Linked DNA regions of Canis lupus familiaris. The protein of the gene in region 2 purifies or fractionates together with the protein of the main gene of each other region. This does not show direct contact. Links are inferred from orthologs where the notes say so. Each region holds a gene or a part of one and is shown on either strand. Other genes may lie near its edges. The genes, in order: LSG1, VAPA, OSBPL9, RMDN3, ZFPL1, WDR44 and OSBPL10.

Region 1 (3,919 bases), on a different chromosome or scaffold from region 2:
CTGCTTTGTTGAAGCCTAATGTTATACTTTAAGGTGCAAGCTCTTACATAAAAATTTCAGATAACTGTTCATTAATCTCAGTATTTTCCTCATGCTTTGTGCTTATTTGTATTTTGATTAGATGACATATTACTATTTGTATAGATGCCTTTTGCTGGTGGGGTGCTTTTGTGGCTGTCATCTGCTCCACTTTCTGCAGTTCAGGCTCCCTCACTATACACTCCAAAGGCCGCTGGCTGTCCTCCTCTCTCACTCACCATACTTGGAACTACATGCTCTGGGAGGGTGGGGACTCTGTCTGTCTGGTCTCCTGATACATGGCTAGGGACCAGCAGGATGCCTGGCCTGTGGCAGGTGATCAATAAATGTTCACAGCAGGAGTAAATTAACCTAGTCTCAGGTTTTCTAGTGTAAAACATTCAGAAAATGAAGAGTCTGTTTAGCATCTCCATACATGTGAGAAAGAAAGAAACTACCTTTTAGGGAAGCTGGGCTTTCTGATGGCATGTAGAAAATGAATTTTTAGCAATAATACAAAGAAATGAAGCTGAAAGAAATGATGTAAGTTCCCCAAGGTTTATAGCAAGTGAATCCATTCACAGTAGCACTAGGTCTGCCTGGCTCCAGGGGCAATTCCTTTAACTAGTGCTCTATGTCTGTCTCTCTCAAATAAATAAATTTTAAAAATAAACAAACAAATAAATAAATATATATTTATTTATTTATAAATCTTAAAACAAAGATGTTGACCTGCTACAATCAGTGACTAGGCTTGGGCGGGAGGGGGGTATGCATGTAACTTAAGAGCTAGAAGATTTTAAATCTGCCACAATCTATTTCTCTCACAAGTTTGATCTCTTGGATGAGGCCTTTAACATACCTTCTCTAACATCTTATGTTTCCTTAGCTAAAGATGGGACCTCTGGAGCTGTGCTGTCTGTCTTTAAAGTCCAAGCACTTCTCACAGCCACCTCTAGAATTAGCATATACACAGCTAGGGATGTGATCTCCTTTCCCTTGTTCTTAGGCAACTAAAGCGGCAGCCATGCTTTGCCTGGCCCGAAAGATGCTGGGATTCTCCTTAAATTGCAGGTGGAACATTTACAGTACAAGCTAGCAAGGACCACTTCACACCAAAAGCCGATAGAGGGTAAGATTACTGAACTGCAAGTCTGAAGACAACCTTAGAAGTTTTCTCATTCTACTATCTCTTGGTAAGCCACACGTGTGGTAGGGCTGAACTGGAAGACGGGAGAAGATAATTAATAGGAATAGGGGCATAACCAGTGTAAGCCTTGAGAGAGCTCGTTCTTTAGAGTTGGGCTTTACCTATTCCCACAGTGCCAGTGGGCAACAAGAGGGCAATAACGTCTCCTAGGACACCAAAAGCTTGGTTCGGCCCTTGGGTTCCAGTGTAGCTACCAACAGATTGGAAATAAATGGTGGGGCGCCTGGGTGATGCAATCAGTTGGGTAGTCAACTCTTGGTTTCAGCTCAAGATTTCAGGGTCGTATGATTGAGCCCTGTGCACTGGGCTCTGCACTCAGTGCAGAGTCTCCTTGGGATCCTCTCTCACTAAAATAAAATATATCTTAAAGAGCAAACAAAAAAGGTACCCATGCAATAACAATCTCAGGACCTATCTCATCTTACCAGTCCAACCGTAAGTTGTCCATCTTTCATCTTCTTCCCAGTGTGTAGCTGCTTAAAGATTTCCAACAATTCCTGCCTTGATACCAGATGGCTAAAATTGTGTGTGTGCCTCTTCCGCAGGGTGTTCCTCCCCTGAGCCTCAGAATCCGCAGTGCAGCTTCCCTGCCAGTCCCGGCCATAGGCCTCTTCATTGGGGTTGCCGTCCTCTTCCGAACATGTCTGCCAAACCTCCTCCTCCTCCTCCTGACAGTCCTCATACTCACTGGCATCTTCATCACTAGTGGTAACATCACTAAGTGAGAGGGAAGCCCTGTCTGGGAGATGTCTAGGCTCACTGCATGGAACTGCAGCCTCTTCACAACCGGACTTCTCAGACTCGGCTGTGTTGGCTTCTCCAGCACTCCTGTTCACCTGTTTTCAATGAAATGAAAGAAACCAAAAAGCTCAGAAGGGACAACAATGGCACCTTTCACTCTAGTGAAAGTACTCAGGGTTGGTTATCTCAGATGAACAGAGGGGAAGCCAAGTAAGTTATAAAGGAAACCAGAAAAGGTGAAAATAGGGAGACAAGGCAGGCCTTTTGGTGAAAGGACACAATAAACTATTAACAGTAGTGCCCTCTGGAGATGGGAGGGGCAGTGGACCTTCGCTTTATATATTTCTATATCATTTGAACTTTGTACAATGTCTGTTACTTTTGTATCAGATGTATATAAAACATCTTTATGTTTTTTAAGATTTTATTTATTCATGAGAGACAGAGAGAGAGAGAGAGAGAGAGAGAGGGGCAGAGACACAGGCAGAGGGAGAAGCAGGCTCCATGCAAGGAGCCTGACACGGGACTCGATCCCGGGTCTCCAGGATCAGGCCCTGGGCTGAAGGCAGGCGCTAAACTGCTGGGCCACCCGGGCTGCCCTAGATACATCTTTAAAAAAAGGTAAGCGTTTAGAAAAGCCTGTGTCAAGCTGAATTCTTTGGCAGTACATTATTTTGCACCAGGCTGTAGAACAAAGCATTTCTCATTAACAATTAAACATTTAATATTCTCTTCTTTGCACAAAGCAAGAAGGGAAACGTTTATACTTTGAGTTTTTTACGTTTGCATTTTTAAAGACCATGGTTTGCATATTTAAGGAAACTGCTATTTCTTTATAATTGCCTTTAATAACTCAAAGCACTGTGGAGCATAGCACCTTCTGGATGAAATACATGAGCAACGAAACATGTGAAAATCATACACATATATACAAAGAACAAAAATAATTTACTCTTCAGGGATATGTTAATTCTTAAGAATTCTGACAATACAAGCAAAAATAAGACAATATATAGTATTACTAATTTGAATCAACAAGAGTGAGCTGGTTTGCATCTAGAAGTGATACAAACCTTGTATAATTTCTAAATTACCTAGTGTTAGAATGAATAACCATAATAGAAGAGGACACAATGAACTCAGTTAAATAAGTATCCTAAATTTTATTTTATTTTATTTTAATTTTTTTTTTTTTTTTTTTAGTATCCTAAATTTTAGTAAACTAAATCTAAACTAGAGATATAAACAAAATGTCAGGGAAGATAGGCATGATTTCATGATCAAGGCTAGGCTGGCAAATCAAAAGGCAACACGGCAGCATGGCTTATAACAGAGCCACAGAACTGGAAACAATTTCTATGAGAAATGAGCAATGAATGTAAAGAAGATGGCGTGTCTTCACTGTGAGCTTTTCTGAATCATTTCAAAAATATGAAACAAACAGAAAACAGTAATGTGAACTGAACGTGCATTAAAAAAACTAAAACTGAAGCAGTTTAGCTTCAGGAAAAATGATAAAGACAACAGAAGGACTTTGTGGTAGTATAGTAAACCTGAAAAGGGAAAAGTCAATCCCTTGGGGAAACACAGTGCAATTTAACAGATGGCCAAGAGAAAACCAGGTACTCAGCTTGAAAACTGTCATTTTTCCCCAAAAAAGAAGGGGTTAACAACTGTAAAGGAAGAACCAAACTTCAGATGGTTGAGAAAACAGTGACTATTAAACTATTCCTAGTAAGTTCATGTTTGATACTCAAATGACAAGTGTGATTACAGCAGTGATGTCACAATGGTAGCTAGTTATTGGTCTTGGGAAATCATGAAAAATGGTAGATACTTCAGAAGATGTGGAAGGAGTAAATGATGGCTAACTTCAAAAGGGAGAAAGTGTACTTTCCATAACTACACACTGCGAACCCAGTCATACACGGGAGCAGGTCTACAAGGTAG
Region 2 (3,204 bases):
TCACCCTGAAATCACATTCCTACCCTTAAAAGCACATTCACGCATGCATGGTTCTCTTTTGGTACTTGGTTCTTGTCATCTTTTCAGTATAACTTTTTCTAGGAATCTCTCCTCCCAGAAGCAAAGAAGTATGGTTTTGGAATGCTATCTCCTTTGTTTCCATGAAACCTTCGTCATCTCACTGTACCTGTTTGTTAAAGGTTTTTCTCCCTCCAGTGGGCGCTAGCTCTTTGGGAGCAAGGACCTGTGTTCATTCATCTTTGCATTCATAGCACATGCATATAGTAGTCATTCATATATTCGAATGAATAAATGGATGAACGGGTGAATGAGAACTAATTTGAATATATGCAGAGTGTATTAATAATTTGCCTTTGACAAGTACCTTATTTCAAGATGTGAATACCTTTAAATTGCCATTTTAGGTTTTGGAACTTTTTGTATCAAAGTAGATGATATAAAAATGTACATAAGTAAATAAGCTAAATTAAGTGACTTAATTTACATTTGATTCTTTCATCTGTTAATGTATATAGGAACTGTATATACTGTGAATCAGAGGCACAGTATCTTGGATTGATCTGTGCTGAAATAATTGTCTCTTTCTGTTTCACAGTACTCCTCAGGGGCCCCCAGCGCCTCTTAGGATAGTGGAAAAACTAGTTTCATTTCACACCTATCCACACATCATAGATTTTTAAGGATGTTGTTGTTACTCTTACTTTATCTGTCATGACTTCCATGGCATAGTTCTATTCTTTGATGAAAGGTGTGCTCCTTAGCATGCTCCGTACTTTTTTTGTTCAAAAAGCCAGTTTGTCTCTTGGCAAAGAGGAGAGTAGAAGTGGAAATGGTAGGAATGACATAAGTAGGGCAGGGGTGGGAAGAGTGCACAGGGAGGAAGGTGAGATTTGGATGCTGGTCTCTCCCCTTCATTGGCTGTTTGTAGGAGATGTTATTTGCAAAAGTGTTCTGCTGTTTAAAAGATAAAAGAACCTTGAAGATCACTGGCTTATAGAATCCGTTTCAGGCCCTTTAATAACATTTCATACATAAGGCCCATCATAATATGTTCTTTTTATTCCTCTAGTCCTGTGGTTCTTAAGCCAGGCTGTGCATCTCAGTCTCCTAGTGAGCTTTTAAAAAATACCAGGTCCTCCCCAGACCTAGTAAATCAGAATCACTAGGAGGGTTTTTTAAAGTTCTTTTTTTTTTTTTTTTAAATTTTTTATTTTATTTATTCATGAGAGACACAGACAGAGAGAGAGAGAGGCAGAGACACAGGCAGAGGGAGAAGCAGGCTCCATGCAGGGAGCCTGATGTGGGACTCGATCCTGGGACTCCAGGATCACGCCCTGGGTCAAAGGCAGGCGTTAAACCGCTGAGCCACCCAGGGATCCCGGTTTTTTAAAGTTCTTGAAGGGATTGAGAATCTGTGTTCTCTTCATGTAGGACTAATGAACAAAGACTAAAAAACCCTACAAACCCTCAGAGAATGTAGTAATTGCAAATAAAACAGTATGACCTGAGGTGGACTTTTTCATTTGGTGTTACGGAGCATGTTAGAGGAATCAAAGTGAGAAAATAAAAATGAGCTTGCACTAAGTAAGGAAGTAGCAGTCTGCCCTGTCATTCATCTGGTTGGGATGATGGACACAGATAAAGCCAGTTGCCTAGGTAACAGGTATCCGTATTTTTCCCAGGGTCACACAGTGGCTGGTAAAGTGTCTTAACAACTTCCTATTTTGAGTGATTACTGCTTTCTTACTGAGAAACCTTGTTCCCTAAAATCATACTGTCCAAAACTTTGCTGTGTGGAATCATACCAGTAAGAACCAAGCAGCCCTTCTTATCTAGAGGATCTGAGTCACTTTGACACACAGAAGCCCAGCCATCCTTTCCAGTCTAGGGGCATGCCTCCAGTAGGGGGGGGTAGGGGGGTAGGTGAGTTCTGTATATAACATTCCATAGCTGCTGTAGTTTGTCGTTTCCGAGGAAGCAGGATTTTGGTGTTTCCTTTGCGATCAAGACTCAGTGCTGACCCTTCTACACATATACCTTCTGCTTTGAGCTTAACGAAACACTTGCTATTTAAATTTTATCCTGAAATTCCCCCTTCCTGCAAATCCTATAAAATGCCTGTCTTTTCCTTTGGCCAGCTACTCCCAGTGCCTCTGCTGTGTGGGTGCCCTGGCTGCAGTGTGTCAAACCTGTTAGACCACAGCTTTGTTCGTGGTGGTCTTTGGTAACCAGTATAAAAATACTGCGGGCCACCATGGAAAAAGTGCATGCACTTTTATTAACATATTTTAGTGGAGTTTTTTTTCCTGTTGTATAAATATAGTTATACCTGCTTTTCAATTTTTTAGGAGTAAATTTTCAGCTCTAGTTTTTAAAATCGACATTATTGAGGAATCATTTATATTCCATTAAGATGCCCACTGTGAGTGTACGATTCAGTTATTTTTAGCAAATTTACAGAGTTATGCCACCATTACAAGACTCCAGTGTTAGGATGTTTCCATCACCCTAGAAGGTTGTCTTAATGCTGGTTAGCAGTTAATCCTTGATCCCATCTCAGCCACATGCACACTAATCTGCTTTCTGGCTATAGATCTGTAGCTTGGCAGTTTTACTGTATGCGTATTTGTTTTTAAAACCTCTTTGTGCATATATTTTTTTCAGGATGAAGGCTTAAGGCTCAGAAAGGTAGCACATTCGGATAAACCTGGATCAACCTCAGCTGCATCCTTCAGAGATAATGTCGCCAGTCCTCTTCCTTCCCTTCTTGTCGTAATTGCAGCCATTTTCATCGGGTTCTTTCTAGGGAAGTTCATCTTGTAGAGTAAAGCATGCAGAGTGCTATTTTTTTTTTCTCTTGACCAGAAAAAGATTTGTTTACCTACCATTTCATTGGTAGTATGGCCCACGGTGACTTTTTTTTTTTTTTTTTTTTTGTGTACAGCGTCATATAGGCTTTGCCTTTAATGATCTCTTACGGTTAGAAAACACAATAAAACAAACTGTTCGGCTCCTGGACAAATTGTATATTACCAGATCATCACTAGCAGATGTCAGTTGCACATTCAGTCCTTTATGAAATTCATAAATAAAGAATTGTTCTTTCTTTGTGGTTTTAATAAGAGTTCAAGAATTGTTCAGAGTCTTGTAAATGTTATTTTAATAATCCCTTTAAATTTTATC
Region 3 (3,919 bases), on a different chromosome or scaffold from region 2:
TGCTCAAGGTCACATGGTTTGGTGATAGCAGAGGCAGGATGCAAACACAGGTCCTCTAACTTCAAGATCAGAACTCTGCTCATTTTGATTCTGGACAAACCACACTGCTTTAGGTTTTATCCAAACTACTAATCAGGCCCAACATTATTAATTAATTCATAATATAAGACCCCAGTAAGACCCAAATCTTACTTAATTCATATTATCCACATATACTATTTCTATGAATTCTAGCTTCATGTATTTCACCCATTTGTAAAAATTCTCAGTTTACTCATCTACATATATATTAAACCACAAATGTATAAACGGAAGTTATGTCATTACGCTACATTTTCAAGCCACATTCACTACACAATCACCGAGAACCCGCACATACACAGTAAGACTTAACAGCAAATGCCAAATTTGTTTCTTACCTTAGTCAGATCCATTCCAAGCCTAACCTGTGACAAGAGATGCATGATAACACTTTTGTGCTCTTCTACTGATCCTGCCTCCCCTTCATCATCTCTATCATCATGTGAGTCAAAAAGGTCTAAAATAAAACAGATCTGCTTAGACTGGTGTTAAGTCAGACCAACCTGTGATGCTACCAGTGTCACAAATCTTTTTTTCAAACAAATATTTTTAGGAAAAAGAGTCAAATTCTCCAATGTCACTTACCAGCTTCACTTGTTCCATTGGACATGGAGGAATTAAGCGACTCTGTGGTATCTGGGCGCTTCAGACTATTTCCTGAGCTGCTGTGTGTCAAGACTGAGGCAGATCCGGATGAACTGAAAAACCAGTAATCACCTTCTTAAGCAACTGAGAGTCAGAGTAAGGCATTAACCTACAAGGCTATCTGAAACCAATACAGGCCGATCAATGACAGTGAGCTGGTCACACATACACAGTTCCGAACCCTTCTTCTGAGATTGGAAACTGTAAAGTGTGAGAACTAGGTTTCCTGTCTCGTGCTTTACGAGACTTTTTTTGCATAGTGTGTGCTCAACCAAATCATGCTAAAAGGTCATCAAATATTAGTAAGATTTTTGCTTCTGCATCTAAGTTTAAAGCTAGAGTTCATTTTCTTGTCACGTTACTTTACAGAAAAATATAATTCTCTGCAACAATTTCTAGAACCTCAAAAATTGCCAAGTCTGTCATACTTAGTCTCAGAAGATGTTTTCTCTGTATTTTTGAGATCCTTTGATAAAAGCCCACACTGGTATTTAACAGTATTTCCAGTCACTTAAAAACTGTATTTGAAATAACAAAATACAAAAGCACGGTATTTTTTACAAGCAAATTTATGGTAACTGAAATTATGAGCTGGTTAAAATATTAATAGGGTCTAAACAAAGTTTCCTCTATTATTATACTTATAACTGTAACTTATCCAGAATTAGTTGTATATTAATAAAATAATCAAAGTCATATAATTTACTTATTAAATATAAAAAGAAACCAAATTTTTCATACTGCAGATATTATATATAAAATAGTATACACATGACCAGTTTTTTGTTACAGATTTATGGATGCAAAGCATATTATATATTCTAATTTAAACACAGTTTGCCCTAATTACTTACCTTCTTTTGATTTATTTAATAAACTTCATTTTTAGAGCAGTTTTTCACAGCAAAACTGAGTAGAAACTACAGAATTCCTATGTGCTCCTTTCCGCAAACATGCCCAACTTCCCTCCCATATTATCAACATCCCACCCCAGAGTGTGCTCACTTGTAATAACTAATGAACCTACACTGGTACATCATTCTCTGACTTGATGTCCACAGTTCACATTAGGGTTCACTCTTGGTGGTACAACAGTCTATGAATTTTGATAAATGTAGAGAAGTATACATCATTATAGTATTGTATAGCTGCACTACCCAAACAATCCTCTGTGCTCTGCCTACGTTAGAACATTCTAATATTACAGTATTAGAACAATGTGTATTCTAATTTAAACGTAGTTTGTCCTAGTTACTTACTTTCTTTGATCTATTTTTCAAAAATCCTTAGGTAACTACTGCTTCTTTGATAATTTAGTAGTATACATCACAAGGTACTGAAACTAATGTCTACCTCACAGCTTTGAGAGCCAATGGAAAATATGAGTAAAAGACCTAGGTAAGAGAAATCAAATTAAATAAATCATTAAATAAAAGAGCTGCATGAAAGTTATTTTCAAAATGTTTTGTGGCTCTTTGATACATCATCAAAATAGAATCAATATTTTATTTTTTTAAGATAGATTTATTTATTTATTTATTTATTTATTTATTTATTTATTTATTTATTTATTTATTTATTTATTTATTTATTTATTTGAGACAGAAAGAGGCAGAGACACAGGCAGAGGGAGAAGCAGGCTCCACGCAGGGAGCCCGATGTGGAACCTGATCCCAGGTCTCCAGGATCATGCCCCTGGCTGTAGGCAGATGCTAAACCGCTGAGCCACCCAGGGATCCCCTAGAATCAATATTTTAAATCAATAGATCAAAAACCCCAAATCCTTTCAAATATGTATCTTATTTTATATACAATTCTAAAGGTTAGATCTATGCTGTGCTTTTCTTTTTTACTCAGGTAAGAAACCATGTCTGGGCCAAATGAAATGCTCAAAATCTCTCAAAATGAAAAAAAAAATGGGATCCTCATTTCTCCATAATTTATTGCAATCGGGACCAAAAAATTTAAAGAATTTAATTAAAAAATAAGAGCAACATTGATAAGAATAATACGCTTACAGGAAAGCTTTATCTGCAACAGGCTAACCTGTATAGTATGTAATCATATCATAAATAAACTAAACCAAAAAATGTGAAGTGCTGAGCTGAATTACAGTAACAGAATCCAAAGTCTTACTGAGCCCCTTGGTAAGAGCCAAACACTGTGTTTTCATCTCCATAACAATCTAAGCTCCCTAAAAACCCTACACAGTATTATTCTCTTCACACATGGATGCTCAGCTCAGAGACTCAGTGACTGGCCTCAGTTCACACGGCTGGTAAGTACTGGAGCAATTTCAAATCCATGTCTGGCTCCAAAGCACAAGTTCTTTCCAACACGGACTTTCATCTAGTTTATAACCGTGTACAGCCACACTGCTCACTAACAGTTCACACTGAAGCTGCCATTGCTACAGGTCTTCGGAAAGTGCATAGTGAAAGACTTAAGTTTTCCAGTTCTCTTTCTACAGAGACAGAAAAACAGTAGACAGAAACTTGAGCTGTGAGTCCGAAAATAAGTAGTAGCAGCCGATGACCAGCAGGTGTCACAGGCTCAATGCCCAGCAAGGTCAGGCAGAGAACATAAATACGTGAACTGGGCTAGGTAGTAAGGAATACAGCCCCAGGGCCAACACACTCCATTTGAATGGACTTAAGCCCATTTAAAAAAACAACACCCTGCCCCCAAATCAACAAACACCTTGATGGCCAAATAAACCATCTGCAGTCCCTACCAGTTTGGGAATCCAGATTAGGGCATACAAGGAGAACATAAAACTGAGGGGAAAAAAGGAATCCAATGGGTTAGCAGGACATAGAATTTAACCCTGGATCCTTTCAAATGGGAGGTTCATCAACTGTGTATTTGTCATGGGATGGGTACCAGGAAAGCCCAGAGAAGGAAGCTTATAATAGAAGGAGAAAAGAAAAAAGCCTATGAGCCTATAGGTGACTTTGTAGACATGCCCGTTACAGGTACAATAATAAAATTTTCTATTTTATAAAAATTTCAGGAGAACCCCTTGAAACTGGGGCCAGACTCTGATGTTAAAAAGAAGCTAACTAGGGATCCCTGGGTGGCTCAGGGGTTTAGCGCCTGCCTTCGGCCCAGGGCATGGTCCTGGAGTTCTGGGATCGAGTCCCACATTGGGCTTCCTGCATGGAGCCTGCTTCTCTCTCTGCCTCTCTCTCTG
Region 4 (3,919 bases), on a different chromosome or scaffold from region 2:
AAATATTTAATAGCCTATGCCATTGAAAGCTGTATTCCCTTTTTCCTTTTCCAAATAAAATAGCAACTTTGAGCTCCCAGGGGACCAACTGTGGCAGAGGCAGAATCACTGTGTGATTCATGTGGGTCCATGAGCTTGTTCTTTTTTTTTTTTTTTTTAAAGGTTTTATTTATTTACTCATGAGAGACACACAGAGAGAGGCAGAGACATAGGTAGAGGGAGAAGCAGGCTCCATGTAGGGAGCCCGACGTGGGACTCGATCCTGGGTCTCCAGGACCCGGGCCAAAGGCAGATGCTCAACCGCTGAGCCACCGAGGTGCCTCCATGAGCTTGTTCTTAAACACAGGACCAAACATAGCTTTAGTTCTCTCCTAGTCCAAAACCACCTTATCCTAAAACACCAGCTTCTCCAGCAAGCCTTCTCAGCCAAGGATTGCCCGAAACCTCATTGCCACTCCTTCTTGGCCATTTATCACCTCATTTACATTGCTCTTATCTACCCCACCACTGGGAGTCTCTCAGCCCTGGTTGCCTTTGAATGCTTTAGCTCAGCCCCTCTAAAGGGGCTTAGGAAGAGTCAAAAGAAAGAAAGTTAATTATCAGAAGGGAATATGTGTATAACTGAGTCCTTGATCACTGACTTGTGGGCCCTCCTCAAGGGGTAGAGTAGGGTAGCTCTGGCCTCCGCGGGAGCCATGGGTTCTCTTCCGTTTGTGGGAACAATGTGTTCCAGCCAAGGGCACAGCTCCAAAGAGCCATCTCAAAGGTCCCTCCCAGGCCCTGGCAGATCTCAAAAGCCCCAGGGCATGTTAAAAGGACACCCCTGTCCCTGGTGGATTTCTCCCGGGGCTGGATTGGTGTTCTGAGATGTGTGAGAGCATGGTGTTACTATAGAGACAGCCTTCATACCTGCGGAAGCCCCGGAAGCTCATGGGGGCTGATGTCTGTGCTCATTGAGCAGGTGCTTGCCCACCCGCTGCGTGCCAGCCAGCAGGGTGGCAGATTAGCGAGGCAGCTCCCTGATGTGGGGCTGAGGTGTGATAAGAGCCTCCCTGCCTCACAGGCCCCACCAGCAAAGTCCCTCCTGACCACTCCTCCTGCTCAGCCATGCGAGCTCCCTGGCAGTGCTGGACATCCCTCCTGGCTCAGCTCACTAGAGAGACTGTGCTGATACTTATGCTCTAGGAGGGAGAAGAGCAGGGGTCCCTCGCTGGGAGACTCCTGATTTGAATGCCTTATTGGAGGGAGTTCAGCAGGCAATAGTGTCTCCCCTTCTTTCTAGTAATAGGAGATGTGAGACTCTAGCTCTTTATCCAGATAGCCCATTTACCCATCTTGCCTTTGGGCCTGCTGGGCTGAGTAGGAGGCTCTGGTAGACTCTGATTTGATTCTCTCATTTGGGCAGGTTATTGTCCAAGCCTTCAGAATTGGTTGGGAGTCTGTCTAGGCTGCCTCTGTGTGGTCTTGTTCGTCACCACCCAAGTTCATTGTAAATCTGATGCCACTTCTCTTTGTCCCTTTAATTTCAAAAGTTTTTACTGCAGATTGCTAGAGGGGAAAGAAGTTGGATAATATATTTAAAAGTAAGGTGAAGTTAAGGTCAAGTTCCTGTAGTAGCTGTTCCTGGGGCCCTTTTTTAGATGAGTGTGGAAGCTCCTCTGTGAAGCAGCAGCAGGGACTGGGCACTCGGTCTGGTTGCTCACTTGGTACCTTCCAGACGAAGCCTGCCTCCTTGTGTCTGGCTTTCTGGCCTACCACTTGCAGCCAGACTTGATGCTGTTTTGTCCTGCCTTTACTTGTAGGTGCCTCGCTCATTTCTCCTTCAGGCCTGTTTTATGCCAGGCATAGGTATCCTGTCCCTATTTTTCATTCTAGGATGGAGGAAGGCATATCCCTAAATGATCCTAAGGTCTTGCCTGTGCTTCAGAACCTTCTGGCTCTGACTGAATCTGCTTTTCTTTTACTCAAGTCTGGAGGTTTCTCTGGTATCTGCTTCCAGGCCCTAGAAGTCCGACATTGTCCTCTGCTCAGTTTTTGTCTGAGTCAGTTGGCAGTTGGGGAGAGCACCCTAATCAGCCACTGGTGAAAGCCAAGATCCAAGAGAAACGTGGCCTCCTCTTCAGGGAGTGCTGGGGGTTCCAAGAATAGACCTATCCTTGGATAGGTCCGGCTTGTGGCGGCCCCAGAGATACCTTCCCAGGTGGTTCTGTTTGCATCTTCCTCTCCTGAGTGTAGCTGCAAAGTGGCCTTTCCCCTCCCCCAGCAAGTTCCTAAGGTTTCCAGGTGCTTTTCTACTGTGGTTCAGGTTTGGTTGCTGACAGGACAGAGGTGTACCTTGAATTGGGAAAGAAAATGTAGATATTTGGGTTGCCCATGGCCTCAGAGGCTGGCACCCACCCATGTTGTTTCTGGTGGGTGCTTTTGGCTGATAAAGCAAATGTGACTGACAAACCCTTAGCCAGGCTCACATCTACCTCAGATCAGCTCCACCTACATTATGGTTTTTATCTTAAGTATTCCTTTTTTACTTATAAAAATGTATGTTCACTAAAGCAATCATATATGTTAAAAAGTAGAAAAATTTCCTTTAGTTCTTTTATCCTGAGTTCTACTAGCAACATTTTGATGCATTCCTTTCTAGGCTGCTGCTTTCTAGCCTTTTTCTTTTTCTGATTATCTAACCAACTTGGTGGTAGCTCAACAGGGGGTTCTCATATTGCCCCCAGCTGGTCACTCTTTCCATCTAGGATCATTTTCCCAGCCCATAGTTCCCATAGGAAGCTTTCTCTCAAGCACTAATTTCTGCCCCTAAGTGGTAGAAATGGTTTTTACATGGCGCTCTGGACAGCAAGCAGCATCATAAGAGCCCTTCTTTGTGGGTGGGAGATAGAGCCTAGAGTCCTGAGGCTAATACTCTCCCTTGACTCTGTCACTTACATTTCTCTGCCACAGTTACACAACAGCCAATGCTGAGTCTGACTATGAGCGGGACTCTGACAGGGAAAGTGATGACGGGGAAGATGAAGTGAGCTGTGAGACTGTGAAGATGGGGAGGAAGGATTCTCTGGACCTGGAAGTGGAGATGGCTTCGGGCCCGGTGGCCAGAGCCCCGGAGACTGGAGGCTTCCCTGGCCTGGACGATGTGCTGCCCCTCCTGCAGCAGGCTGACGAGCTTCACCAGGGCGGCGAGCAGGGCAAGCGGGAGGGCTTCCAGCTGCTGCTCAACAACAAGCTGGTGGTAAGGCTCCAGCTGCCTGTCTGCCCTTATAGCCTCCCAGCCCCCCTGCGAATGGAGGAAGGCCACTGTAGTTTCTAAGCCTGCAAGGTGACATAGGAAGGGAAATGAAGGTGAGGTGACTGGTTCTGCATGTATCCCTCAGGGTTGCACATCCTATTCCAAGTAGGCCATGCACTGCCTCTTGGGGCCTAGGTGTACCGCCTGCCCCAGAGCTTCCTCCCTATGGTCGTCTGCCTCCTATAGAGCTATTGCAAAAGAGCTCTCCTTCTTAGAGAGAAATGTAGAAAGAGCTGGAATATTCTTTTCCTCTTTTATTTCCCTTGAGGTAGAGCCCAAGCTGCCTGCCCTACTTGAAGTTTCCATCACAAGTGACAAATGTATAGGTCACTCAACCACAGTTCCCTCTTCTTCTGGTTAACTGCCAGAATTTGTGCTCACCAGCTATAAATGCCCCAGTTAGAATTTTTCCTTTTCTTGGGCATTTTCACATTTTTCACTATCAGCTAGACTTCTCATTGTGCCTCATTTCATCTTGGAGTTGACCTTTCCTCCTCACAGTATCAGGCCAGAATGCCCTCACTCTGAAGGTTATGCAATCTACTGGCTAGAGATGACGCAGCATCAGTTAGCTAACTGCAGGTGCGAGGTCGTGTGGGGGTGGAGTGCTATGCATAAGGCTGG
Region 5 (4,482 bases), on a different chromosome or scaffold from region 2:
TCTCCTCCCTCCTTCCTGGCATTTGGCCCCACCTGACCCTGTGTACCTGAGCAGCTGGGCCAGCCACCCCAGGGCAGGCCGGCGACGGTACTTGTCTTCATCACAGTCCCCATGCAGGCCTGGTGAACGGTCATCGTCCCGCGTGTCATACACCTTCCTGGGGGCCGAGGCTGCAGGGGCAGAGCCACCAGTATCCACAGGCTCAGAGAAACTGGCCTGTAGCAGGGTGGGGAGTGGGGAGGGCAGGAGGTCCTTGCCCTCTTAACCTGACAAAACATCTCAGGATCATGGGGAAGGTAATGACTATGTTAGTGAAGAGGGAAGCCACCCGGTGGGCCTCTGGAACCCCAAGCCCCCTCCACATAAGTCACTCCACTCCCTTTCCATCCTCTTCCAGACTGGAAAACTCCTTGGCTCACCATGAGTCAAGGGCTCAGGATTGCCCATGTGGATCACTGTGTGCTGCTCGGGCCGGCTCGGGGAAGCAGGGGGCCGGGGGGCTTGGCTGTAGAAGGATGGGGCAGCAGAGGCGCTGGCTACCTCCTCCTGTTCAGGGCTACCATTGGCTGTGGCAAGAAGAGAGCTGTCAGCAGAGCAGGGAAGCAAGGCCCCAAGGGCAGTGCAGACCACTACCTACCATTAAAGCTAGACCAGTCAGAGAAGTCAGAGGTGTTGAGGGGCTCAGGTTCCGGGCTCACCACTTCATCGATCTGGAGGAAGGAACCTGTGTCACCAGCCTGCTCAATACTGTCCCTACCCACCCATCTGGCCCAAGTGGGACCCAGGGCAGACGGTCGGTCAGACACACAGATTCTCACCAGAGGAAGGCCCAGTCCTGCCCGGGCCCAGTTGACCATGGCCAGCTTCTCTCTCAGTGTGGAAGCAACAGGGCCAGCCAGGTTGGTTGGGGGGAAGATGGGGCCACTGCAGATGGGGCACTGGTAGCCAGCAGGAGCTGTGTTACGGGGTAGCTGGGCGGCACGTTCATTGAGGCAGGCCCAGTGGAAGAGATCTTAGGGCCAATGAAATAGGGGAGGAGAGGCATGAGGAAGAAGATATGTAGGATCTCTAGCCCGGCAACAACCCCCAGTCTGCTATGTGGATGTATGTATACGCGCACATGTGAGCTCATAGCCTTCTCCTTCCTGTCCTCACTCAGGTCCATTTTATCAGTGTTCCCTAAGATTTCAGCCTTCTTGGCCACCACTACCTGACTCAGTCAAGGGAGATGCTACCAAGATCCCCAGCCCACTAGAAGGGAGAAGCCTACTTCTCCCTGGGGTAGTAGGGATGGGAAGAAATGCCAGTGACCCTTAAAGTGAGTCCTCTCTGAACATGCACTTATCACAAGCTCCTCAAGCTAACAGCTAATCAGGAGCAGTTTCATAAGTTCCTAGACACACACAAGTACACGTATGCATGTACACACCCACACCCATGGGCACAAATGTATACATACAATAAAACACAAGTACCATCCCTGTATCTACACTTGTAGGCACACTAACTCCCACACAGAAGCTTTTATACAATCACATTTGCTAAAATTCAAGCACCATAACCCAAGCGTTGTCCTATAACCCCACAACACACCTGTGTTCATACTTCACACGTTTACCCATTCACTCATGTGCAGGTACTAAGGAACACATTAACACACATAAAGTTAAAAAAAAGCTGAGCCTAAGCCTCTTACATCAGTCAGGTCAAGGTCATGATACATATGACTAACTTCTTTTAGCTAGTTACTGTGGGAAACTCCCTTCCTCTCTGTTTAGTTGGAATGAATAATAGATCCCAGATGTCTGAAAGCCTCATGCCTTCAGCTCCCTGCTGGTCCAGCCAGCTACTGCTCACAGCCCAAATGTTACAAGTTTGATTGGCTCTCACTCAACCCTGTAAATGGGCAGGTAAGAAAGTAGGAGCTTTAATTTTTAGGGAAAAACACTGAGGCCTAGAAAGGGAAAATGACTTGCCTCAGCTCACACATCAGGTAAATAACACAGCAGGACTAGAATTTGGGGTTCCAGCCTCCCAAGCCTGGGGAGGTCTCCATTGCCCTGCTGCTTAGAGAGGACGTGGAAACTGGTCACCAAGCTGGGCAGGCCTCACCGTAACAGACGAGGCGGGTGGTCTCCCGGTTGGCCAGGGGTGTGCTGCACAGGCGGCAATTCGGGTTGTAGTCGCTATCTTGAAGCCACTGCAGATAGGACTGGACGATGCACTGGAGTGGGAGACAGAGGTCACAGCGGGGGCCCAGCTGCTTCTTTTTCTCTCATCACAAACAAGAATCATACTTTCGTTTGTTCAATCAATAAACATTTATTGAGCACGCAGTGTGCCAGAGTCTGTCTTAAGTGCTGGGGATAGAGCCGAGAACAAAAGAAACCAAGTTCCCGCCCTCCTGGAGCTTCCATTCCAACCCCAGGGCCTTCTCGGAGTTGGAGAAAACCGACACTGCCGGCCCACCCACTGCCCTGCTTCGCCCCTCCCCTGAAGCCCCACCTTGGCGTGATTGGCTACCAGGCAGTGCTCGCAGACGTTGACCCGGTGTTCGAAGCAAAAGAGATTGGTCACCTTCCTCTTGGGGCACTTGCAAAGTCCCATATTCGACCCTGAGCAAGGGGTCGGAGTTGAGAGAGCCAGCTTCCGGTGTCCGCCACTACGAACTCACAAGCCCAGATCGTCTCCACTCCTAAATCCCCTAAACACCTCTCATGATCGCCCCAACCCCTAATTCCTGCCCACCGCCCTTCTACATTCCGGGCCACGCCTCCTGAACGAATTCCGCCTCCAGTGACCCCTCATTTCTCCTGGATCCCGCCCCCGGCCAGGTCCCTCCACCAGCGAGTCTCCGGTACCACCGGCCCCGCCCCCAGGGGCTCCACCTGAGCCCCACCCCCTCCAAGCCCCGCCCCCTGCTTCAACACAGACCCCCCCCCTCGCCCCCCCATCCGTGTTACCGATCGACCGCCTCACCGGTCCCGACGCGCGCGAGCGCTGGTCCGAGGCGCGGAAGGACAGACACTGCGCTCAGCCGTGCTCCCGCTCTGCGCGCTCTACCTCGGGCCGCTCCGATTATCCCTCCGCTGCCACGTCTCTTCCGGGTGCGGCGCCCACTGATGACGTAAGTGGACCGCTGACCCCGCCCCTGCTGACGCTGCGCGCGAGACGGATGGTAAACGGAGCACGGCGTCCCTCCCGCCTTGCGTCATTTCCGCTTCCTCCAGGCAGGGCGGGTAATTCGAACGTTTCGGTCTCTGTGATCCCTCTGGGTTGGCGCGAGCCCCGGCGGCGGAGGCGGCGGCGGAGGTCGAGACCAAGGCTAGCATGTCCGAAAGGCGAACACGGTCCGGAGGGGCCACACGGCACTCCGGTGAGCCGAAGGCGCGCGGGAGCCTGGGGCCGAGCCGTTTGAGGGATGGAGTCCCACGAGGAGGCCCCCCCCCCCCCCCCGCGCTCTAAGAGGCTCATTCCGCCGTTAAGGAGCTTGTTTGGGGAACCTTCTCTCGCTCTCTCCTGAATCTCTTCTCTAGACTCTGAGGCCTAGAGTCTTACCTTTACCTCCTAACTTCTTTCTCTGCCAGGGTCCAGGACTTCATCTCCTACTCAGTCTCTGCGGAGGTCCCAGCGGAAATCAGGCCCTGATCTCCCGAGCACCCTCCCTGAAATCTGGCCCAAGGTGAGCCCTGCTTTCTCAGCTTCTGTCCCGGGGGCCGCTGGACTAATGTGGAGCTCATATTCACTGTTCTTTTCCAGGCTCCCAATGCGGCTCCAGTCAGAAAGCCCATCGTGTTGAAGAAGATCGTAGCCCATTCTGTAGAGGTGAGGACTGAGAGAGGGGTTGTGGGTTGGGAGCCAAAATTGCGTTTGAGTCTTTGATCAGTTATTATTGTCTCCACAGATCCCATCTATCCACACGCCTCGAAGGAGCCCAAGGGTGAGTTCATTTTCTTTCGTCGGCTCAGTGGAGTGGAATCCAGGGCACTCTCGAGATGGGGCAGGATATACTGGCTGCTCACATCTGCCCAGGGAGCTGTTTTGAGGTACAAATCTTCCTGCACTTAGGACAGGGTTACTTTCTGATAAAACGGTCATGAATTGAACACGTAGTATGTCAAAAATGCAATTAATGCGCCGAATCTATCAAACGTCGTACTTTAGGTTATCATGCCTTAAACGTGTTCGGCACAGTTGTATGAGCGTATAGTTAAATTATCTGATTCAAAGCCTATCCATAATAAAAAATTGAATACCACTTAATTTTATCAAATACTGAACTGAAAACGAACGACAGAATGGTTGTAAATTTGTCAGTTGTTTCCCCACGTGATGGCATGGCTGACTGGGAGCTGCAGCTTGCTGCCACTACCAGCATCATGAGAGAGGATCTTAACACATTTCACTAGCCTGGGAAAAGATCAAAATTCGAAGTGCGATTTCTATGGAGTGCATATCAATTTTGCACCGTCATAACACAGA
Region 6 (4,509 bases), on a different chromosome or scaffold from region 2:
AGTTAGTATTTGGAGATACCGTTTTATACCTGGGAAATTAACATGTTTAAAACACATAAAAGCTAATAATTACTGGACTGTAACAAAAATCACATCCTCACAAGGACTCAGAAATCCCTTGCGTGCAATTCTGAAATCCAAAAAGTCCTGGAAACTGAAAATGTTTTGTATTTTTAGGAACTTATTTGACAGTCAAATTGATCTAACCTAAACTTATTTGGCAGTACTATCTAACCTGAACTGATGAGGCTATTTACTGGTATTCATTTACCCCGTATGAATAATCATACGGTTTGCTACAAAAAATATTACCATATTTGAACATGCAGTGTTTCCCCTGAATTCCCTGGGATGTTACAGAAGTTACAGTATATGGCATTTGGTTTTACTCAAGCACGCCAGACAACGCTAGATCTTTTCCCAGTTGCTTTACAAGGAGAAATTTAGAACCCCATTTTAGCCTCCAAGGCAAAGAGCCCAGAGCCAATTCAGTCTTTCCTGCTGCCATCTTGAGAAGTAGTTGAGGCTGAGCAAACAGTTCCGAGAGCCCGCCAGTCATGACGTCAACGGGAAACTAAAGCGTTTCAGCGACCACCTAGAAAGTCAATGTTATCACTTTTGTGGTCAATGATCCGTCAAGAAAGAACATCTTGGTCTTTCAAAAAGTACTTATCTATTTTTATCACTGGACATTGGACAATCTAGGGTCAGAATTAAGTTACTAGCTCTTAGCTCTGCCACAGTAGTATCTGTTCAATAAATATTTACCACTGACTGATCCACATCTTGGCCAGTCTGTAAGAATTTCTCTCACATTAAGTGTGGGCAGCAACAAATATTTGTTTAGAGAAAGAGTAACTGGAAGCCTTATGCTGGCTCCGCTCCAGCAATGAATCCATCATTACTTCATGGAACTGGCACACTCCCCACGATCTCATGGACCCCACCCTCTGGCCGGCAGGATCGTCTCTAGGGACCTCAATCAGAGATCCTGTAGTAAACAGCTCGAGTTATTCCCGTAACGCTAGCGGTGGTGGACCTGCCTATGCCCTAGGGTGGGATACTCTGGGCTTGGATAAATGAAGACGACGTAAATGCAAACCACAACGCCAAGGTTTCCCGACATCATTTCCTCACAAGGAAAAAAAGCAGACTCAAAACCACCCCTCTGAAGATGCGGGTCTTCCGAACTCCAGGGTTACAGGGTAAGACAATCCGCCACACCCCACCTACGTTGGGCGCACTCCCTAGGAGCCGAGGCACCACCCCGCTCCTGCGCAGGTTGTAGGCTCCTCCCTCCAGGAGGCTCTTCCCCACCCTCCTCGGCTACTTCCGTCCGTCACCGAACGCCCTCAACGCGCTTGCGCCGTTTTGATAGGCCTCTCGGGTAGCAGAAATCTGAGCGCCGCCGCTCTGGAACCGCCCCCGCCTCCTCTTCGCCCCGCCCACGCTCTAACCGGCCCCTCCCGAAATCTCGCGAGGTTAGGTGCGCGTCCGTATTTTGCGGGCATCTGGCTCTCCCAGCTGCTGTAATTGCTGCTGCGGGAGAAATTGGAGCCGCTGTCGTCGGCGCGCCCGCCCTCCCCCACAGAGAGCCACCGCCTCTTCGCTCACTCTCCCTGTACACCTATCGCCGGGAGCGGCGGCTGCAACAGTCCCTGGACCCACCGCCACCTCCTCAGGCTGCCGCTTGACTGGTCGTTCCCGCAGCGCGGCAGCTGACGGCGGCCCCCTGCTCCTCACCGGCTCCTCACTCTAGATCGTCTCCTCCGTCCCTATCCTCGCCCGGGACCCACCTCCTCACGGTCTCGCCGGGGAGGAGGACGACAAGGAGGAGACGAAAGTCACCCTCCCTCCAGGCGGCGCCGGCCCCCTCACCCGCGGGTGTGTCCTATAAATGGCGTCGGAAAGCGACACCGAGGAATTCTTTGATGCCCCTGAAGATGTGCACCTAGGGGGCGGCTACCCTGTAGGGTAAGTAACTGGAGCTATGGCCCAGAAGCCGGGCGCTCCGGTCCCCCGGTTTCCCCTGTGCCTTCCCCCCGGCACCCCTCCCAGGTCTCGCTGTGTCCGCCACCGCTGCTTCTCTGTTCTCACTCCCGCACTACAGAGGGATTCGGGGGAGGGGGAATGGCCCACCTTGGCAAAACCTCCTCCTTTCCCTGGGGAGCGGTCCCTGGGGCTAAGGAGCCCCTTTCTTGTCTTGCCCTGCTTTCTTCGAGGTGGGACACTTTACGTGTCCGAGAGCCGGCGATTTGTATTTGTGAGGTTCAGCGTTTTACCTTCGAAACATCCGTTTTGGCCTTGGGGACCACAGAGCAGTAACAGAAGAAATTGCACTTCCCGCTGGTTCTCTTCTTTTGCCGCTAACTTACCTATTCGTTTCGAAGGTAGCTTTAATTATCCACCGCCCTCTTCGTTGTATAGAAAGAAAAGGAGCGGCAGAGGGAAAGGTTGGATATTTACTTAGGAAAGTCCTCTAGCTGATGTACCTACATCAACAGTGTTTTACTAAAATAGCACCTCACCGTGAGGCAAAGGAAATCGAAGACACGGTCCTTACCATTAGGGAGAATGCCGTCTTAAAAGGATAGCCGGCCACAATTACAGTTGTACATAACCAACTACAGAAATACAAACAAGTGCTGAGTAATCTGTTCGTTGGAAGAGCCACAGCTTTGTCTTGTTTATCTAATTCTGCAAAATGTTTTAATGATGATTAGTTTGAGAGATTCTGAGTAAGAAAGTGCAGTAGTTGGAATGCTTTGCTTGTCTGGGACTGCTTGACTGGGACTTCTACTTACCGACTCCTCCACTTTTAAAAGTTGAAACAGGATTTAAAGCTATTTTGCCGAACTCCTCTACGGACTTGGGTGGAAATTGAGGCAGTGAAATATATTTTCATGCTGTAAGAACTCGAGAATTAGTGAAATTTGTATATTAATGTAAGTAGACACTTATACGGTTACAGGAATTTAGCTGCCTTCAATTCCCAAATTTTCCCCATGGAAGAAACACTGCTTGATGCAAATAAAGTTATTTGTACTTTCTAGAAGTCATTCTAAAGCTTAATATATTTTATATATAACATATAGCAAAAAAGTCACAGCAGCAAAATCAGAAAGAAATGTACGTTGTAGATGGCAGATGTGTTTCCACCAGCCTTCCTATCACTATTACGAGATTTTTGGGTGGCAAGGCCCAATCTTGAGTTGGCACTGAGTCTCCTTCAAGTTCAGTATCTGAAACAAGTTCATAGCTAGATGGTACAGGATTGAAAATACTTTTGGCGCCAAAATGTTTGGATTCCCTTGAAATTAAATTTTGTTTTTGTTGCTTTTCCCTTTGAACTGTCGATTTAGGTTGAATGATATACCTAATCGATTAATGCTTTTGAGTATGTGTGGAGTGGGGAAGGAAATAACTATGTATATGATTGTAATCATTTTAGAAATATGTGAATATTGTTCCTTCTCAGTGAACGAAACATTTAATTTTGAAGAACAGTTATATCAGGAGTTTATTTTGTCTAGTACTTGGCACAGAAAGAACCCAAATGTCCATTCCCTTGTCCTTTCTTGGAATTAACAAATTTAACTTCACACAGTGGTTACTTTGAGAGGAAGTATGCAGAACTTGGAGCTATTTAACTTATTTAAATCCAGTGAGTCATTTTGATAGAATTGATAGAATCACTTCTTGCCTCTTGGGATAATAGAGCTTCTCAAGTACTTTGATCCTTTGATAGTAGGTGAAAAGTAAAAACGTCTCTTGGGACCTAACCTTCTAATTTTAACTCTAACTTCTCCAAATATTAATGGTGTTGAACTCTATGGGTAAAGCTATAGTGTCAGTCTGTGAATTTCATGGCTCCCATCTGTATTAGTAGGGGGGATTTGGAAGAGAATTAGGTTCGTCCGGACAGTTGCATCTGAAAAGAACTAGTAGTACTGGGAGGACTGAAAATGGTTGTGGCATCATTGATATTTCCTCTGTTGTGACAGGTTTTGTCTTTCGTGTAAGATACCTTGAAGAGAAATGCAATGAGAAATCTTGATTTGTGGAAATAGATGGTATCACTAGATATCTGGTCACCAGAAATATCTTCTGTCCCTTGATTGAACTGCAGTGGCACACCATACAGACTCTTAAGAATTTAACAAGCTGAGTTTGCAAACTTTAAGAAATTTTCCTTGCTGACGGGTGTACCACAGTACATAGATCATTTCATCAAATTGTAGTGAACCGGACAGCCCCGGTGGCTCAGCGGTTTAGCGCCACCTTCATTCCGGGGTGTGATCCTGGAGACCCGGGATCGAGTCCCATGTCGGGCTCCCTGCATGGAGCCTCCTTCTCCCTCTGCCTGTGTCTCTGCTCCTCTCTCTCTCTGTGTGTCCCATGAATAAATAAAATAAAATCTTTAAAAAAGAAAAACAAATTGTAGTAAACTGATTCACAAGTGAAAGTTATCTCATGTTTTGTTAATCAGAATCCAAATACACAGTCCAT
Region 7 (3,919 bases), on a different chromosome or scaffold from region 2:
AGGACCCTGAGATCATGACCTGATCCAAAATCAAGAGTTGGCCCCTTAAGTGACTGAGCCACCCACGGGCCCCTGCCCCCCACTAAGCAATGGCAGTAGGTGAGGTGGCCCAGCTGTCCCAGGGCTTCTGTCCAGTGAACTCTCACCTGCCTTGTCCACTGAGGGAAAGAAAATGCTCCCGTTAGCCAGAAGCAGGATAATTGTGTTGTGTGGGGGGTAATGGGAAGAATTTGGGGTGGCAGTTGGGAGCCTCAAGTTTCCTGTGTGGTGCCTTCGCTCCCCATCTGCCGTCTCTGTCCCCCGACCTGGAGACCCGGGCGTTGGACTCCATCACCCGGAGGGGCCCTCTCCGTCCTGACAGTCAGTCATTTGGAGTGTCAGTGGCGTTGTGTCCCCTGGTTATCTTGTTTTAACTCTTCAGCTTCGGAGTTCAGAAATGCTAAGTTGGGGGGAACCGCCTTCTGTTCTTGCCCTTTTCAAAAGTATATATGGAGAGGGTGACCCTGGTGGCCGGGTCTTTCCTTGTGATGCCAGGCTCGGGTACACGCTGGAGGATGCCCCTGTCCGGAGCACCGGACTTGCTGCCAGAGAGGCCCCAGCCCCCAGGGGCAGAGGGCGCAGCTGAGGCCGCCTAGCGACCCTCTCGGCAGGGGCGTTTGGGGCTGGCCTCCCGCCCTAATTCCGCCCTTTCCCTCTCGGGTTCTCTCATGATCACCGGGCCCTGCCGGGGGGAGGGAAGGAACAAGAAATGGGGAGGTTTCGGGAAGGCCTGGAGATGCAGACATTTGTGGCTTCTTTTCTCTTTCAGTTGTTTGGCCTCATTGGGGGGTGTCCCACGGCTGATTAAGCCCCTAGTCCCCGCACAGCCTGTCGGGCAGAGCTCCCAGGGTGACCCTGGGCAGCCGGGGGGCAGGAGAGGGAGCCATGGTGAGAGTGTGGGGCTGCGCTTGCCTCCCCTTTACTCTGCCAGTGGCCGCCTGCTGTGGAGGGAGCCCCTGGCCCGAGAGCCCCCTTGGAAAAGCAGACGCCCTACAGCACAGCAATGGCCATTGAATGGTGACCTGTCCCCACAAAAGATGTAGGAAGTAATCACAGTGGCCTCTGAAGGCCATTCTGAGCCAGAATGTCCATTACCTGGCCAGCTCAGAGCCTTGGGGCAGCCAGAGTCTCAGTTTTGTCAAGTTTTGGCTGAAGGAAAATGAAGAAATATCCATTGATTTGCATAGTTGTGTCTTTTCTTCCAGTATATTGTAAAAGCAAAGCAGAAAGAGACTTATAAAAAAATATAAAAATCACTCAATTCTAACACCAAGAAATACATGTTAACATTTGGGGTCTTTTTGTAATACTAGATTTGTGTCACATGTTTGACTTTACATCTGGCTGCTTTTTCTTTCTTTCTTTCTTTCTTTCTTTCTTTCTTTCTTTCTTTCTTTCTTTCTTTCTTTCTTTCTTTCTTTCTTTCTTTTTTAAAGATTTTATTTATTTATTCATGAGAGAGAGAGAGAGAGGGAGGGAGGCAGAGACACAGGCAGAGGGAGAAGCAGGCCCCACGCAGGGAGCCCAATGTGGGACTTGGTCCTGGGTCTCCAGGATCGCACCCTGGGCCGAAGGCGGTGCTAAACCGCTGAGCCACCCAGGGATCCCCTGGCTGCTTTTTTACTTAATGAATGTACGTACTCTTTCCTCTAATGTAGTATTTAATCTCAAGAAAAGCGTTAATAAAGATAGCAGAGTCCCCTCTCCAGGGGGCTGGACTTTTTCCAGCTTCCTCTGAAATCTCTGTGCTTTGCTGATCTCCTGTCTGCCTGTCTGTCTCTTTCTCTCAGGACATCCCTCTGCCATTGTATCTACACCCTTTGCTAGGAGGGGTCTGAGCAAGCTGAGGTGGAGGCAGGGTTGCAGATCTGTAAGCCTTTTGACATTTGCAGTCAGAGAGTATTTTCTCGGGAGTTGGGGACTGTGTGAAGGAAGGAGACTCAGTCTTTAAGGAGGGAGTGTAAGCCAGCTGCATCGCCTTGAACTTGTGTGGCTCTTCTCTCTCTGCCTCCCTCTCTTCTCTTTCTGTCTCTTTCTCCTGGAGGGTGTTAGGGAGGAGCCAGCAGGCCATGGCTAGACTTCCAGCTTCATGATCCTGTGCTGAGATGCTCCAGGTCAAAGTGAGCTGTGCCTTGCAGCCAAGTGATTGGTATTAATACCCAGTAATGAAGTCATTTTAAGATCACTCTAGAACAGTGAGGAACAGGCTCGCTCTCCTCCGCCTATCAGCGATAGTAATAAGGGACCTGCTTTCCAGCCCAATGTCACAATGGCCTTCATTTGCTTTAACTGACTTCCTCATTGGGGTTGTGGGGCACCCGATGACCACATGCATCCTCTCTGGATCAACAAGGAGTCTCGGTCCCGTCCCTGGCAGAAGCATCCAGATTTCTACTCCTCTTTTTGATAGTGATGTCAGTAACAATCCCATGAGAAGCCCCTGTACCAGTCCATTTGCCAGAAGATTCTGTATTAAGTGTCAGCCTGTTTCTTTGTAACTTCTGCTTATTTCTTCTGGCCCAGCCTTGCAGAGCAATCTCCACACATGGGCCTTCCTCTGCATGGCAGCTCTCTGGGCATTTGCTTGCTAGCTGATTGGTCTTGCCTCCCAGAGACCTGGGCCATGGGTCCTTTCCTCACTCCTGCTCTGCCTTGATCGTGTTGGGATTTGGATGCTACTCTTCTAACAGAGATCTCCAAATAAACCCTCTTAGTGGTGGTGTGTGCTGGTCTACCTGGACCCCCTTTGATGCAGCACCAAAAAGCCCCATGTTTGTGGGGACACACCGAGCACTCCCCTGGGTTGTCTGATGTCAGGAAGAAAAGGAAGAAGTCCTTTTGTGCTCTTTTCTTCACATCTCTAAGTAATAAGGAGTTAGTAAAAGAGGGTTTTGTCTGGGGATGGTGACAGCAGTGGAGGGGGAAGTAGAGACCGCTGTTCTAGTCCAGATGAGCAGAGAAGCAAGCCACGCAGAACCATCTAGTCCACGAAAGTGGGGTGGCATCATGCCACCACAGCAGCCACTTCTCCAACCTTGTCTTCTTTGATGTCATTTCCCCTAATCTGTCGCTTGTATATGAATCAAAAGACAGCGTTCTCTGGCTTAAGCCACGATGGATTTGCTTGGTGGTGGTTGCAGCCTTTTCCACGTAATCTCGGGGTCTCCTGTCTGACTTTGTCTCCTTCCGAATGTAGGTGGTGCTTCCCACATTTATCCTGGAGAAGCGATCCTTGCTGGAGATGTACGCGGACTTTATGGCACACCCAGACCTGCTGCTGGCCATTACCGCGGGAGCCACGCCCGAGGAGAGAGTCATTTGCTTTGTGGAGTATTATCTCACAGCCTTCCATGAGGGCCGCAAGGGGGCCCTGGCCAAGAAGCCCTACAACCCCATCATCGGTGAGACGTTTCACTGCTCCTGGGAGGTCCCCAAAGACAGGGTCAAGCCAAAGAGGACTGCTTCCCATTCTCCTGCTGGCCACGAACACTCGGTAGCCGAGGACCCTTCCACAAGCTACAAACTAAGGTTTGTGGCCGAGCAGGTGTCTCATCACCCACCCATCTCCTGCTTCTACTGTGAGTGCAAGGAGAAGAGACTGTGCGTCAACACTCACGTATGGACCAAAAGCAAGTTCATGGGCATGTCCGTGGGGGTCTCCATGATAGGGGAAGGTAAGCCATGCCGGATGTTGCAGGGAGCTTGGCTCCGACACGGTGACGTTTATACACCTGATAGATGATTGATGAGTGTGTGGAGTTCTTTGTTTTTATTTTGTTTTGGAATTGGGGTGGGTGGTGGTAAAGAGGGACAGGTTTTGTTATTATGGGGCGAGACCCTGGTAATTTCCCAGTGGGGCCAAGGTCATAGACCAGATGGG

Evidence for each region.
Region 1: the proteins of VAPA (region 2) and LSG1 purify together in Homo sapiens (co-immunoprecipitation; 4 studies listed by BioGRID and IntAct, counting the BioPlex papers as one, with this or other methods). This does not show direct contact. The link is inferred for Canis lupus familiaris from reciprocal best matches to the Homo sapiens genes VAPA and LSG1.
Region 3: the proteins of VAPA (region 2) and OSBPL9 purify together in Homo sapiens (co-immunoprecipitation; 5 studies listed by BioGRID and IntAct, counting the BioPlex papers as one, with this or other methods). This does not show direct contact. The link is inferred for Canis lupus familiaris from reciprocal best matches to the Homo sapiens genes VAPA and OSBPL9.
Region 4: the proteins of VAPA (region 2) and RMDN3 purify together in Homo sapiens (co-immunoprecipitation; 4 studies listed by BioGRID and IntAct, counting the BioPlex papers as one, with this or other methods). This does not show direct contact. The link is inferred for Canis lupus familiaris from reciprocal best matches to the Homo sapiens genes VAPA and RMDN3.
Region 5: the proteins of VAPA (region 2) and ZFPL1 purify together in Homo sapiens (co-immunoprecipitation; 3 studies listed by BioGRID and IntAct, counting the BioPlex papers as one, with this or other methods). This does not show direct contact. The link is inferred for Canis lupus familiaris from reciprocal best matches to the Homo sapiens genes VAPA and ZFPL1.
Region 6: the proteins of VAPA (region 2) and WDR44 purify together in Homo sapiens (affinity purification with mass spectrometry; 3 studies listed by BioGRID and IntAct, counting the BioPlex papers as one, with this or other methods). This does not show direct contact. The link is inferred for Canis lupus familiaris from reciprocal best matches to the Homo sapiens genes VAPA and WDR44.
Region 7: the proteins of VAPA (region 2) and OSBPL10 purify together in Homo sapiens (co-immunoprecipitation; 4 studies listed by BioGRID and IntAct, counting the BioPlex papers as one, with this or other methods). This does not show direct contact. The link is inferred for Canis lupus familiaris from reciprocal best matches to the Homo sapiens genes VAPA and OSBPL10.

Annotation. Positions count from the first base shown.
Region 1 is NC_049254.1:31,816,982-31,820,900, reverse strand, and holds part of LSG1 (large subunit GTPase 1 homolog), read right to left. Parts: intron 2,065-3,919; coding exon 1,654-2,064; intron 1-1,653. UniProt on the Homo sapiens protein: Functions as a GTPase. May act by mediating the release of NMD3 from the 60S ribosomal subunit after export into the cytoplasm during the 60S ribosomal subunit maturation.
Region 2 is NC_049228.1:75,972,176-75,975,379, forward strand, and holds part of VAPA (vesicle-associated membrane protein-associated protein A), read left to right. Parts: intron 1-2,685; coding exon 2,686-2,844; 3' UTR 2,845-3,204. UniProt on the Homo sapiens protein: Endoplasmic reticulum (ER)-anchored protein that mediates the formation of contact sites between the ER and endosomes via interaction with FFAT motif-containing proteins such as STARD3 or WDR44.
Region 3 is NC_049236.1:9,561,911-9,565,829, forward strand, and holds part of OSBPL9 (oxysterol-binding protein-related protein 9), read right to left. Parts: intron 780-3,919; coding exon 667-779; intron 539-666; coding exon 420-538; intron 1-419. UniProt on the Homo sapiens protein: Interacts with OSBPL11 to function as lipid transfer proteins.
Region 4 is NC_049251.1:8,171,799-8,175,717, reverse strand, and holds part of RMDN3 (regulator of microtubule dynamics protein 3), read left to right. Parts: intron 1-2,952; coding exon 2,953-3,238; intron 3,239-3,919.
Region 5 is NC_049239.1:52,617,575-52,622,056, forward strand, and holds the start of ZFPL1 (zinc finger protein-like 1), read right to left. Parts: upstream 3,141-4,482; 5' UTR 2,980-3,140; exon of another isoform or gene 2,964-2,979; intron 2,616-2,963; 5' UTR 2,608-2,615; coding exon 2,506-2,607; intron 2,225-2,505; coding exon 2,113-2,224; intron 1,013-2,112; coding exon 819-1,012; intron 711-818; coding exon 638-710; intron 567-637; coding exon 420-566; intron 171-419; coding exon 47-170; intron 1-46. Other genes in the region: CDCA5 (sororin), read left to right, coding at 3,331-3,376, 3,588-3,682, 3,760-3,825, 3,905-3,940. UniProt on the Homo sapiens protein: Required for cis-Golgi integrity and efficient ER to Golgi transport. Involved in the maintenance of the integrity of the cis-Golgi, possibly via its interaction with GOLGA2/GM130.
Region 6 is NC_049260.1:91,249,824-91,254,332, forward strand, and holds the start of WDR44 (WD repeat-containing protein 44), read left to right. Parts: upstream 1-1,481; 5' UTR 1,482-1,897; coding exon 1,898-1,974; intron 1,975-4,509. UniProt on the Homo sapiens protein: Downstream effector for Rab11 which regulates Rab11 intracellular membrane trafficking functions such as endocytic recycling, intracellular ciliogenesis and protein export.
Region 7 is NC_049244.1:13,246,217-13,250,135, forward strand, and holds part of OSBPL10 (oxysterol-binding protein-related protein 10), read left to right. Parts: intron 1-3,235; coding exon 3,236-3,713; intron 3,714-3,919. UniProt on the Homo sapiens protein: Probable lipid transporter involved in lipid countertransport between the endoplasmic reticulum and the plasma membrane.